Regions from separate parts of the Mus musculus genome. Here regions 1 and 2 are each reported to be linked to region 3. Evidence: microRNA targets listed by miRTarBase, many of them from high-throughput screens and not tested one by one. Region 3 holds a microRNA gene; each other region holds the end of a gene's coding sequence.
Evidence for each region. Region 3 holds the annotated microRNA mmu-miR-1949 (CUAUACCAGGAUGUCAGCAUAGUU, at 1,317-1,340, opposite strand). A microRNA usually pairs through its seed, bases 2 to 8, with sites in the 3' UTR of a target mRNA and lowers its output. Matches are read on the target gene's strand: a 7mer-m8 pairs with bases 2 to 8, a 7mer-A1 pairs with bases 2 to 7 and ends in A, and an 8mer does both.

Region 1: the mRNA of Coa5 is a reported target of mmu-miR-1949. Seed matches in the 3' UTR shown: 7mer-m8 at 1,143-1,149.
Region 2: the mRNA of Slc38a1 is a reported target of mmu-miR-1949. The part of its 3' UTR that is shown has no 7-base or 8-base seed match.

Annotation. Positions count from the first base shown.
Region 1 is chr1:37,416,899-37,420,997 of GRCm38, forward strand. Coa5 (cytochrome C oxidase assembly factor 5) reads right to left here. Exons shown (of 3, transcript NM_198006.4): 3 at 187-3,729. The coding sequence ends at 3,688. Among named protein-coding and RNA genes, the nearest start is that of Coa5, 11 kb to the right of the region's middle.
Region 2 is chr15:96,572,956-96,577,054 of GRCm38, reverse strand. Slc38a1 (solute carrier family 38, member 1) reads left to right here. Exons shown (of 16, transcript NM_001166458.1): 16 at 243-4,099. The coding sequence ends at 344. Among named protein-coding and RNA genes, the nearest start is that of Gm32457, 6.8 kb to the left of the region's middle.
Region 3 is chr18:35,551,853-35,555,951 of GRCm38, reverse strand. It overlaps Mir1949 (microRNA 1949), which reads right to left and starts at 1,385; the gene lies at 1,316-1,385. It overlaps Snhg4 (small nucleolar RNA host gene 4), which reads right to left and starts at 2,542. Exons shown (of 4, transcript NR_038073.1): 1 at 2,483-2,542; 2 at 1,491-1,525.

The DNA.
Region 1 (4,099 bases), not on the chromosome of region 3:
AGTGTCTTATTGATTGAGGAGTTAATCACGTTCAGATGTCAATGCACCCAGGTGCTCAGGAGGTTAATGCAGTCCCTATTCAAATGCCAACAGCACTTTTGTGTTTTTAGAGATAGACAAAATGTATATCCTGAAATACAGATTCTCAAAGAGTTATACCCCAAATAATCTTGAAACAGAACAAAGATGTTTTCAGATTCAAATTTTTATTTTAGAACAAACACTTTCTGATTTCAAATTTTGATAGTAATTCTCCAGTAATCAAAGCAGTGGCGTTGGCATGAAGGCAGACAGAGTCAGGAGAGACTGGGCTCAAAACCGGCCCCACCATGCATGGCGCCATGTTTTCCCTCCAAAGGGCATTGTGCAAAGCTAGATATGCACATGTGGAGAGTAGAAAGTCAGAGCTTCCACCACACACAAAGATTAACTCAAAATGCATCAAAGGGCAAAGCTAAGAACTAAAACTAAAATTCCCAGGGCAAGCTACAGTCAGCTCCCTTGGAATCAATGCTTTTGTAGATGTGATGACCAAAAATTCAACCAGAGTCAACTATTAACGGGCAGAGGAGACCTAAAACAATTTCTTCAAACGCTATATAAAGAAAGCCACCAAGCATCTAGAACACACCAGCAGTCAGGGAACTAGGAAGCAGAAGCACTGGTGGATCTTAACGACTTCTAGAATGGCATACAAGTCACAAGGACATAGGCAGTTCTAATCTCTGTGCACTGCGGACAGAACATAGAATAGTGTGGCTGATATGGAAACTATGGCAATGCCTACTAATAAAAACAGAAGTACCCTATGACATACAATCTGCTACATGTATGTTAAGACTGAAAGCGGGTCCTAGGGGTATTTGTATATACACGTTCACAGCATAGTCAGGAGCTCCAGGGTGGGAACAACCGAGGTACCCACGGCTGGATGAGTAGGTAACAAGATACATACAATATGCATACAACATATACTACAATACCATTTGTCCTTACAAAGGAAGGAAACCGATATATGATATGAACCTTCATGGTATTCCGCGCTGGAGGCACACACACACACACACACACTCTCTCTCTCTCTCTCACACACACACACACACACACACACACAAGTGCATGCACACAACAAAGAGTCCACATATACCAGGCACTTAGGGTACTCAAATTCAGAAACAGGAAAGAGAATGGTGGTTACCATGAGGAGAGAGTATGCCAAGGACAGGGCAGGGCGGGCGACCTGGCAGTGGCTGGGAGTCCTCAGATGGGCACACTTGCATTTCCTGAGGTGGATGCAGAACAGTGCGGCAGGCAGACTGTACTGTACTGCACTGTGAATGTGCTGAACACAATATATACGGAGCTACATACTTAGCCATACTAAAATGTATTATTTCTATTTAACTAATTTCAAATATGGTCATGAATAAAGGTGTGTAAAATAATTTTGAGAGCACAGGCCTACAGGTAAGAGGTAAAATTTATAAGCTTCTGGAAGTTTGGGTTAGGAATGGTTTCTTAGAGTGAAAGAAAAAAGACATTGTCATTTTCCAATATGAAAACTGCTCTAGTCAAGAGCAGCGGTGTGTGCTTTCTGGGAAGTGCAGCGCTGAAAATGCTCGCGCTTTGGGGATTCCCGGCCAGCCTGGGCTAAGCCACATAAGGGAATGTATAAAAATAAAGACTGTGCTATATAGAGTAGCAAGAGATTGAAAAGGACAAACACGTTGAGAAAAAAATGCCAATTAATCTTTAAGAGACTTGAGCCAACAGTAAATAAAAAATCTTATAGGAAAATAAACAGATAACCCAACTGGAAGCCAGACTGCAGACTAGAAAACACTCTGCAAAGGCAGCATAGAGAGCCAATGAACACACGAAAAACTGCTCAGGTTATTAGACACTAGAGAAATGCAACCAAGATCCCAATAGATGCCTCTTTATCACAAGCAGAATGGCTGTCAGCAATATGAGCAGTTGTGAAAGTCAGGGGTGCTGGAGCCTAGATCCCATGACAGCATGAAATGTGGTAAAATCACTGTAGAAAATATAATTGAGGCCGTCATGATACGACCTTGGAGTTCAACTCTAAGGCATGTATTAAATGAAACGTTCATAGCATTAGTCAAAAGCCCCAAAGTAGAAACAGCTCAGAGCTCATCTGCTCGATGGAGAAATACACAGTGTCTGTCTACTGTGGATGCTACTCAGCAGAACTACACTGCAGACTGATGCTACATGCCAATAAACCTGTCGAATTTGGTAACAGGACTCAGAAAAGACAGGACTACATAGTTCCACTCATCTAATAGACCTGGACCAGAGGGAGAGGGCAGAGTGCTGACCAGTGGTTACATTTCTGGAAAGGATGAGACTGTTCTGGAAGTAGATAGTGGTGACTGCAGCATGCTCCACGAACACTCTAAACTCCATGGGGTTGTCTAAGTCAAAGTCCAATTATGAGACATGTGACTTTTTCCAAATAAAGCTCTATCTACTCAAATGGAGGCATTTCATACAAACACATTTCACTCTCTGTTGAAACTGAAGCACTAGTGGAAGGTGTGGCTCAATGGTCGAGCTTCCTAGCATGCAGAATGTGCACTCCTCCACACTGCACACAGACACCAAGCTTGGGACATAGGTGGCAGGACTGAAGGGTGCAATACTCCCACTCCCAGTGGGGGCAGTACACAGAGCACAAGGGTGCAGTACCTCCTACTCCCAGTGGGGGCAGTACACAGAGCACAAGGGTGCAGTACCTCCTACTCCCAGTGGGGGCAGTACATAGAGCAGACCTCAGTGACACCCTAGGGAATCCTCATAGCTTCAAAAACTTTTAAAATAGCAAGTGAACTTCCAGTCCTTGACTGCTTTAGCCCCAGTGAACTACAGAACAATATAGAATTGCCACTCTGTTCAATGGCAAGAATCACACTGAAGATTTAGTGCCCTGATGGCTTTCTACTGTGTTAAGTGGTCAAAATAATATGTTAAGGATTCTAAACTTTTCCAGCCACTTCATGTCATTGACATTTGTTATCTAGAGTGAACATCTGTTGTGTCCATTTGCTGCATTCCAGTGTTTAGGGATGAGGCCCATAACTTATCTTATGTGATTGTGCATGGTGTCAGCACAGTACATGCGACCAGGATCTAGCCAAGATCACCAAGCATATGACCCAGGAAGGAGCAGCGTCCTTCAGCAGGGTGTGACTTGTGGGCCAGCCTATGCTCTCCTTTTTGGAGCCCACCCATATCTTGAGGATGTGGTCTATGGCTGATTTCACCCCTTTATGAGGAGGGGGTTGGCCTAAAATTGAAACCAAGAAACAGAAAAAAGAGTTGGAGGAGCCACTATCTATGCCAATCTCATCATGGCCTCCTGAATTCACACACTGTGTAATCTGATCGAAGAGTCATCCTTGAACATAATCTCTTCATTAGGTAATTCCCCAGACACATTCTTAGCCCATAGTTGTTTAGTCCCATGGATCTTCTATAAATGACTTCAGCCAGCAGACTCATTCAGAAACAGCACTGATCCATTTTCTCTGGTGTCCTTGGGAGGAACACCTGGCCCAGAGGTGGAAGAGATGCGGCAGCTGCTGTGCTTCCCGTTTGGTTCCTTTCTGTTAAGGACCATGGAAAATCCTGGGTGACTTTCATCTTGCGTTCAGCATGTTATCAATATCCTTTTCTCCCTCTGAATCTTGATCTGGCATCCAGCTGAAAAGAAGCATGCATGCATTTAACCACATCTGGAATAATAAGCACAGCTCTGGTAAGGGTCGTCAGTAACTTTATGAAAGAAGAAACTCGGCTGAGCATGTGGCTAATGCTACAGCCAGGTAAAGCACCTGTAAGCCTTTGTAAAAATACATAAATTATCTATTTTTCTATACTATACTATACATTGAATCCAAGGCCATACATATGTTAGGCAGGCACTCAACCGCTGAGCTACATTCTGTCCTTTTCATATACTTTTTTGATAAGGTCTCACGAAGCTGTCCAGGCTGGCCTTGAATTTACTCTATAGCCCAAGAAGGCCTTAAATCTATTGTGTTCCTGCCTCAGTCTCTTTAGATAGCTGGCA
Region 2 (4,099 bases), not on the chromosome of region 3:
ACCAGATCTGCGTGCTGTCTGCCCCTTGTGTGGGATGACATGCACCCAGTTTTAGAAGAAAGTCTTGAAAGTTCAGCCACGATCATAACGAACTTCAAATACCAAATAACACTATGGAGGAGGGTGGAGGTTTCGATTCTTTCCTGGTGCGTGTGCGCGCGCGCGCGGTGTGGGGGTAAGAGTTGGGGGTGGGTGGAGTGATGTTGGCCATGTTGGAAATAACCCATGTCTCCTTGCTGCAGGCGGCCCTTTTCTTGGGCTTGGGGGTGTTGTTCTCCTTGATCAGCATCCCTCTGGTCATCTACGACTGGGCTTGCTCCTCTGGCACCGACGAAGGCCACTGAAGCCCGCAGCCACACCCAGCATCCGCCCACACCCATCCAGCCCCCATCAGCAGCCCACCGCCACTTCTTTTGCAAGTTTACAGAAACAGAAACGCACAGGGTTCCTCTCGGGTTGCCACACAGAGACTCACTGCTTCTAGAAGGACCCGCGTCCTCTCGGGACCTACACTTTGGGACCGTGGATTTCTGCTTCTCCAGATTTCGTGCCGCCATCTTGTCCAGCCCTTCCCACAGTTCTCCTCCCGTCTCCTCATTGTTGTGGCTTCTCTCTCTCTCCCTCTCAGAACTATGGAAACACGATCAACAGTTGTCTTCACTTGTTAGATACCCAGCTCCTGAAATCGTTTTCCTAACTGACGCTCCGCTCACGCTGTCTGCATCTTTTTAGAAGAAGAGAAAATAATCTTGAATTGTATATATTTATTTTGCTTTACAGAAAAAAAATAAGGTTTCAGAAAAAAAAAAAGGTTTCATAAATAATTTGCCTATTTTGGTTAACATAGCACACAGGGATAATCCTTTTGAGAGACAGGTTGCGTGCCATGGCTGCATCTGAGCATGCCCAATATTTGAGGCAGCTCTGATCACCCGACATGGACTGTCCGAGGGCTGCTGGTACTCCATCCTGCTCCCATGTGGAGCGATTCCCTGGGAGGCTTGGGCACGGCGCCTCTGTATATATATATTAATTATATATTAAAACAAACACTCCGGAGATCTCAGGAACAATGGTTTGTTTCCCTCTTGGCATCTGGCATCACAGTTACTCTAGGCTGAGTCACCTGCCTGAGGTCCCTTGGTTCCCATGATGACAAATGAGACTGCCCAAATGCCTAAGGACGTACTCCTTAGCCAGACCACCTTCAGCCCACACCCGTATTGTTGAAGGGGGAAATGATTTGTTAGTTTATAAGCCCGGCAGCATCGAGTCATGTCCACCAGCTTTCTGCAACAGAGATGAACATGTACCTAAGGACGGCCTGGGATAGGTCAGCCTGTTTTATACTGGGTACTTTACTTTAATGGAGTCTTTGAAAGACTTGTTTTATATCTATAAATCTAGGTTACTACAAATAGGAGATTTTTGTACCTTAAATAAGCCTCATTTCTAGTCTCCATCAACTCTCCATCCAGTCCTGAAAGTAAGTCTGCCCCGAGAGAGGACCGCTGAAGTCACTGTGTGTCCCCTCTTGCCTCAGCTGGGGACGGCAGGAGGACCCTTCCTGCCTGTGATTGTTTTTTCCCTTTTGTCCCATTATGCCTGTCCCATGTGACCCAGGCAAGAGGGCAGAGTTGCCCATCCTCTCGCCAGTCCCTCCTAAGGGGAGCAGAGGGGAAACTTCAAGGAGACTGAAAACTGTTTCAGAGATGGCAGCTCAGCATGCCGTAATGATGGGGATATCTGTGGATGCCCATAGCTAAGCTACAGTAGGTGAGGCGCGCGCGCGCACGGTGACCGCTCTCTGCAAAAGGCCTGAATTGCAGCCAGTTGTATCCTGGTTGAAAGTCTCAGATCCAAATACTCACTGAGCACAGATTTCTCATCTGGGGGTGAGTAGAAGCTAACAGAGGAGGCCCAGACACTTAGCTATAGACGCTATACCTCCCGTCTGACACCCCCCAGAGGTTTTTCAGGAATCTCACGAGAGTCACGCAGAGATGTCCCTTACCACACTGAAGTCCCCGCAGACAGGGTTAGGCATCAAAGTACCTGCCACCATGCTCCTGGGGAAGAAAGAAAATCTGTTTTCTGCATTGCTTCGCTTGTTCTCATACTGCTCCAGAGTTCTGTCCTCCTCGTTCAGGCAGCTGACCACAGGTCCTAGACAGGAAAAAGGGTAAAAACCCACAGCCGCCTCTACCCTTTGCCCTAACGCCTCCCATGTCACAAGAAATGACCACCTTTGTAGCTCTGTTTGTACTGTTTAAAAAATACATCAGTTTAGTTTGCAAGCTGCACCCCCCCCCCTTGCTGGTGTCCCCCTTATCCTGTAACAGTTCAGTTTTACATTTGCAAAGTGAATCCAAAAACGCACTAACTCTGGGATGTGTTGCGATTTTTGTTTGTTTGTTTGGACCTCTGGATTTTGTGTTGGTAAAACTAATGTATTATTTGCAGCATATTTATTTGCAGGAAGCACATTGCTGTTGATCTCTGTGATATGTGGGTTTCTTTTTTTTTTTAAACCCTCTTTGTGTACCTGAGTTTGTTTGAATATAAGGGATCTTACTGTCATTTGTTAGGTACCACTGAGTAATTCCATAGTTTCTGTGGTAATTCACTGTAGAGTGGACTGTTCTCGCTCTCGTTCAGAATAACTGGCAGCCAAAACATTACCTGTATCACAGATGTTAAGTAGCACTCAACAGCACAGTCAAATGTAACAGGTACTTTTCTGCTAAATTAGTAGACTCAAGCATAGTAGGCCTTCGCCGAGGGAAACCGAGTTTCCCTTCAGCACACAGGCTCTCCACACTGTTGACCCAGGGCCAGTTTCATACTTTGGGTTTAGCACTGTTCTCTGGTTCTTGTAACACAGAATACTGTAGATTCCTAGATTAGTGTTGCTTGTTAGAAGTAGAGTTTGCAGAGTGTGTGCAGGTAAGAAAACCTACTCTTTTAGGCCTGGACTAGGCCTGGTCACAGGGAGACCATATTCCAAAGCTCTGTAACCCGGAATGGATTTTTCTTCATTGGATTAGATGTGGGGGTTAGGCCCCCAGGCAGCTGGAAAAGAATGTGGAGCTGTAATGGAGTGACAGGACTGTGGAAGAGCCAAGTTCCCAGAGAGACTGGAGGTGGGGTATGTTGGAATCACTAGGAATACCCCCACTGCATCTCTGCCACGGGTCACCTGCTGGGTAGTGGGGTCAGGGCTCCACCACAGTGGCCTGTAGCAAAGCCCCCCCCCCCAAGACTAGAGAGGCTAAGTTCAAAACCCTGAGTGTAGGTGGTGGTCAAAGAAGAGGAGTTCTTAGGGCTCCCCTCCTTGCCTGCAGTTTTAACTTTATAGCTCTCCCAGGTACCAGCTTTGGGGCCAGCACACGGCACTCTCATTGTCTCCCGTGCTGGTAACCATGGCTTCACTGCTTGGTGATCAGGTGAAAAGTACAAAGGCTCTCGCTCCTTCCTGAGTACTTATGGACCCTGCTGAGGGACATAAGGGCGTCAGGGTGGCTTGCAGAGGACTAAGGTCTGTGGTGGGATGCCTCACTATAACAATAATTATGCCAAGCATTCAAGCCCTCAAGCTGGTGTTTCTCAAACTGTGCACCCTCAAGGCAGCAGCATGAACCTCATCTACAGACTTAACCAGCAAAGTGTCAGCCTCACCAGACTCAGTGGATAAATCGAGCTGTCCTCAGCAAGTCTCAGGTCTAGCCTCCAGGTGAGACCTGTGATTTCAAGCTTGGGTACCACTCTAAGCTTTCTCCGGTCAGCCCATCCTCGGAAGGCGATTGGTTCCCGGGGTGAGGAATGAGAGCCAGGTAGGGTAGGAAAGGACCCCAGCCAGTGTGTGCAGGTTCAGGAAAGGGAGGGCGTCGTGTGCAGCCCCTACTACCTGTGTTCTTTCCTGCTGCCAATGCATTGCAGAGTTGTGAGTGGATCTTGGGGGTGCTCACACTTTAGGGAACCCAGCCCGAGGCACTAGTCTTATTTTCTTGCAGCTGCGAAGATTCCAATTGAGGCTTTCAGAAAATGTAGGTAAATTTTTAAAAATGCCTTTTGTAAATGCGGTCCTGAAGGCACTGCT
Region 3 (4,099 bases):
TTTTTTTTTTGGCTTTTTGAGACAGGGTTTCTCTGTATCGCCCTGGCTGAAATTTTTTTTTAAAAGAATTTGATGGACAGGAAGGCAAGAGTTATGTTAACCTGGAAAGTTATGTTAACACTAGTGCATCAGAAGGATGCGCAAAGGTATGGCAGGCTCAGTGACCTATTGGAGGGTATTTTTAGGGCTAAGCTGGTGCCATTAAGGAACAGTAGTAAAGTAATTATGGGCCTCAATCAAAGAGCAGGTAGATAGAGTGGTAGAACTAGGAGTGGGTAATATGGGATAGTAACTTTCCTGTAAGAACTTGACTGGTTAGGGGGTGGGGGCGTTAGGTACTACACTGAGGAGCAAAAGGGATATTGATGTACATGGGAGGGCAATGATGAAGCTAAGGTGAGCAATGTAGAGGCTACTGATGGGAATGTCAGCAGATGCTCAACCTAGGGTGCTTGGTGGGCCTGGCAAGCGCTTTCACCCCCAAAAACATTCAGGGGGTCAGGTAAGAGACTTCTGGAACTGGTTAAGGAAGCCTGTGTATAGCTCAGCTACAACTATCCCTGAGCTACTCAAGTCCCGGGGCGTCCTGTTGGGTCGCCGAGGTAGGTGTTAAGTAAGGCAGCCTGGTTAGCACCCATGTCCACAGGGAAAACGGAAGGACACAGGTGGGGGCTGCCACCAACCCTTCAGGATATGAGGGAGGTAAAGGTTATGTCTCCCTGTGGAAACCAGGATGCTCTCACAAAAGCTAACTATGTTGGCTCTATTAAACACCAGATTCATTCAGTGATCACTACTTGCCTAAAATTGAGGCATTTCTTAGAAAATCATCATGAATAACAGAAAAGGGGGAGCCTAACTGCTCATTGTACTGTTTGACCTAAGCTAGTTCCCAGAACCCCATGGTCAATTAATATGCATAAATTTATTGACGAGCTAGAGAGCAGAATAGTAATAGAGATTGGGCATCTAGGTTGCCTGGACGGTCTGAAGGGGCCCTGCATACTACAACACCAGACTCAATATTCCCAACAGGGAGCTCACTAAAGGGGATCATGACTTAGCTTTTATTATTGTGGAGCGAGGAAACATCCTATTTTTAGTGAACGTGCAGTCTAGTAACTCCCTCCACTGCCTCAGGTCCGCTCCCAACCATTTACAGGCACTAAATCTTGACTTTTTTTTTTCCTATTTATTTCCCTCAGTGGCTTTTACTCAGTTCCATTTCCAAGTTGTGATTTAAGTAACCTCCATGTCGGAAGATCTGGACTTCAGGTTTCTTCCTGCAGAGCTTGCGCTTCTCTTCCTGGGTAAGCAACTATGCTGACATCCTGGTATAGTTAACAACAGAGGTGGCATGAACCAGGCCCAGAATGCCAACCAGCTATTGGCTGCTGTTCTCCCAGCAGTGTAACACTTGCCTAGGTACAAGGAAACCTAGGTAGCTGCCTACAGCTGGGGCAAACCGGAACTAGCCGAACTGTACTTACCAGGGCAGACATCGCCTCAAACTGGCAGCTGGCCACTATGAAATCAAAACATCCCAGATTAGAGTCAGCCTGTCGACACCTGTGCAATTAAGTTAAAAAACCATCTCCAGCCCTCAAACCCCCTTCACTTTGTTGGGCTGAGTCAAAGAAACAAGAGTAGAGAAACAGTGTGACTTTGGGAGCTCCACCCCCAAATAACCATTCCACTAGCTAAGTCCACTCCCTGGAGTTCTTATTTGTAGAACGGCATTAGCCATTACCCCTGTACATCAGGTAGATTGGACCACAGTGCACTGCTCTGGTGGCTGATTCCTGTAATCTTAACTTGTAGGAAGCCAAAACAGTAAGACTGCCTCCAGAACCAGCCATCCTGCACTTAAGAGAACCACTTTTAAAAATGACACTTTAGTAAAGATGGGGGGTGGGGGCTGACTAAATCTAGACAACAGGCTTAAATACGGGACATTTTTAAAGACAATAAAAGTTAACACTTCGAATAGTAATTGAATGTAGATGTAGTGTGAGGGAGCTTGTGCTTGAGGTTTGCATATCATTTTAACATATCTAAGGGCAAGTTATCCAAGTCCAAACTTCACCCCTAACCAATTCTGACCAATTTAATGGAACAGGAAAAGGAATACAGGACTCATGGTTTAGGTCTAAAAGCCCCTTCAGGGCGTGGGCTGAAGCAGATCTGGTTCTCCCCGGACACGTGTTCCACTGAAACCTTTCTCGGTCCTTGTCTGGGGCTCCGGAAACGCTTAAAGGAGCCAGATTCCAGGTGACTTCCTAGCTGGATAGGGGTACTGTACCTCACTGGCGGTGACTCTTCGGGCTATTCCCTTTAAGATGACCTCCAAGACCGGAGATAAAAAATTTAAAAAAAAAAAAACCCAATTCCTTTTCCTGCCCAGGCAGAAACCTTCTCGCCCCCGCTTCTCGCCTGGGCTAGTAAAACCTCCAGACCCCTTGCTCCTTGGGACCTCACTCACCCGCACGTGCTCGGAGCTCCGCAGGACACACCAACCTCGGCAGAGGCCGCGGTGGAAAGGGCAGCCGGGAGCCGGCGGGAGCCCCGCCCTGGGGCGGTTGCAGGGCGGAGCGATGAGTCCCGCCCAAGAGAGGCGGGACTAGAAACACACAAGGCTGACCAGGGAGGACAGCGACATCCCTATAAGAACAGACCTGGGTGTGAGAATTGGCTAGTTTCCTCACAAAGGCTACATTCCCTGAGCTCCCATCGGGTTCCTTAAGTATATGAGTCCTGGGTTTGCAGCTGCTAAATTTAAAGCCCCTTGTGTCCTAATGGGAGCCAGACCTACTGCCTACCTAGTGCTAGCGGTCGCGGTTTCTGCAGATCTAGCCCACGATTTTGCACCTCCACGTGCAGATCTTTCTGGCTTTCATCATCTGCGTTGTTAGTTGGTTAATGGAACTCCCACACATGCAGGTCGCTTGGTTATGTGCTCTGGGTCTTTTCTGGATGTTAGTTAGATTAGGCCGGTCAATGCTGTAGTCTAACCCTGCGGACCACAGCCTTGACGTCCTTCATTGAAAACCCTTAACTGAGTGGCAGCAGCTAAGACTGGCTTTCTCTGGCAGATTTGGGCTGCTTCAGTGACACAGCTAGCTAAAGAAGGCCATATCCTGGATCTAAGTATACACTTCTCTGTTACCAGGATTTCTTCTGAACACTAACGTTGCTGCCTTTGCCCTGTAGTGATTATGCTTCTATCCTGTTGAACAATTGTCCTGTTGTCCTGTTGATGCTGCCCAGGGCCCATAAGAGCAAGGCCCACCAATCGCAATTCCTGGATCTATTTTGTAACTCCTTCAGATATTGCTTTCTGACTCGCAGCCGAGGCTGTTGATTATGACACCTGTCAATAATGGTCAAGCAAGCCTCCTGGAATCAGCCACTGTCCTTGCCATCTGCCAACATGATTTATTATCTATTTCCTCAGTTCCTTCATAGTGAAAGGGGGTGGGGGTGTTCCTGTGCATTACAACCCTAGCATACCCCTTTGAAAACACTTGGTGCTCCAAATTGATTCCGACAAGACCCTCGGCTATGGAACCAAAAAACTACCAGAGAAGTAGCAATCCCAGTCCTTGTCCCCAGGTTTGATGGCCTTGGATCCTGCCCCTGGCTAGGGAAAGGCTTACATAAATACAGTAATTTAAAAGGTCACATGGTCTGTGCTGGACTGGAAGGCAGGGGCTGTGTCATAATCAATCCAGCTGTCAGCATATTCATAAAATGAGACCTGTTCAACCTGACAGATTGGCTGGGTAATTGTCCTGCAGAGCTCTGCTAAAGGAGGAAGTACATGACCACCTCATACAGTTTGCTATTTTCTCTTCCAAACCCACAAGGTAAAGAAGTCAGGACTACCTGCAGAGTTCATAAGAGGGAAAGATGCAGGTAGAGTGTGCAAGCACATGCATATGAGTGACTTCAGAGAAGAGGCGGGAAGGAGTTGACCATAGGGAAATGTGAAGGTCTTTGGGGAGAAAGAGACCAATCACCTGGTGCCGATTGTATTTACAGATTGTATTCACATTTTAGTCTAGGTCGAAGTAGAAGGCAAGAATTGTGGAAAAGAAAG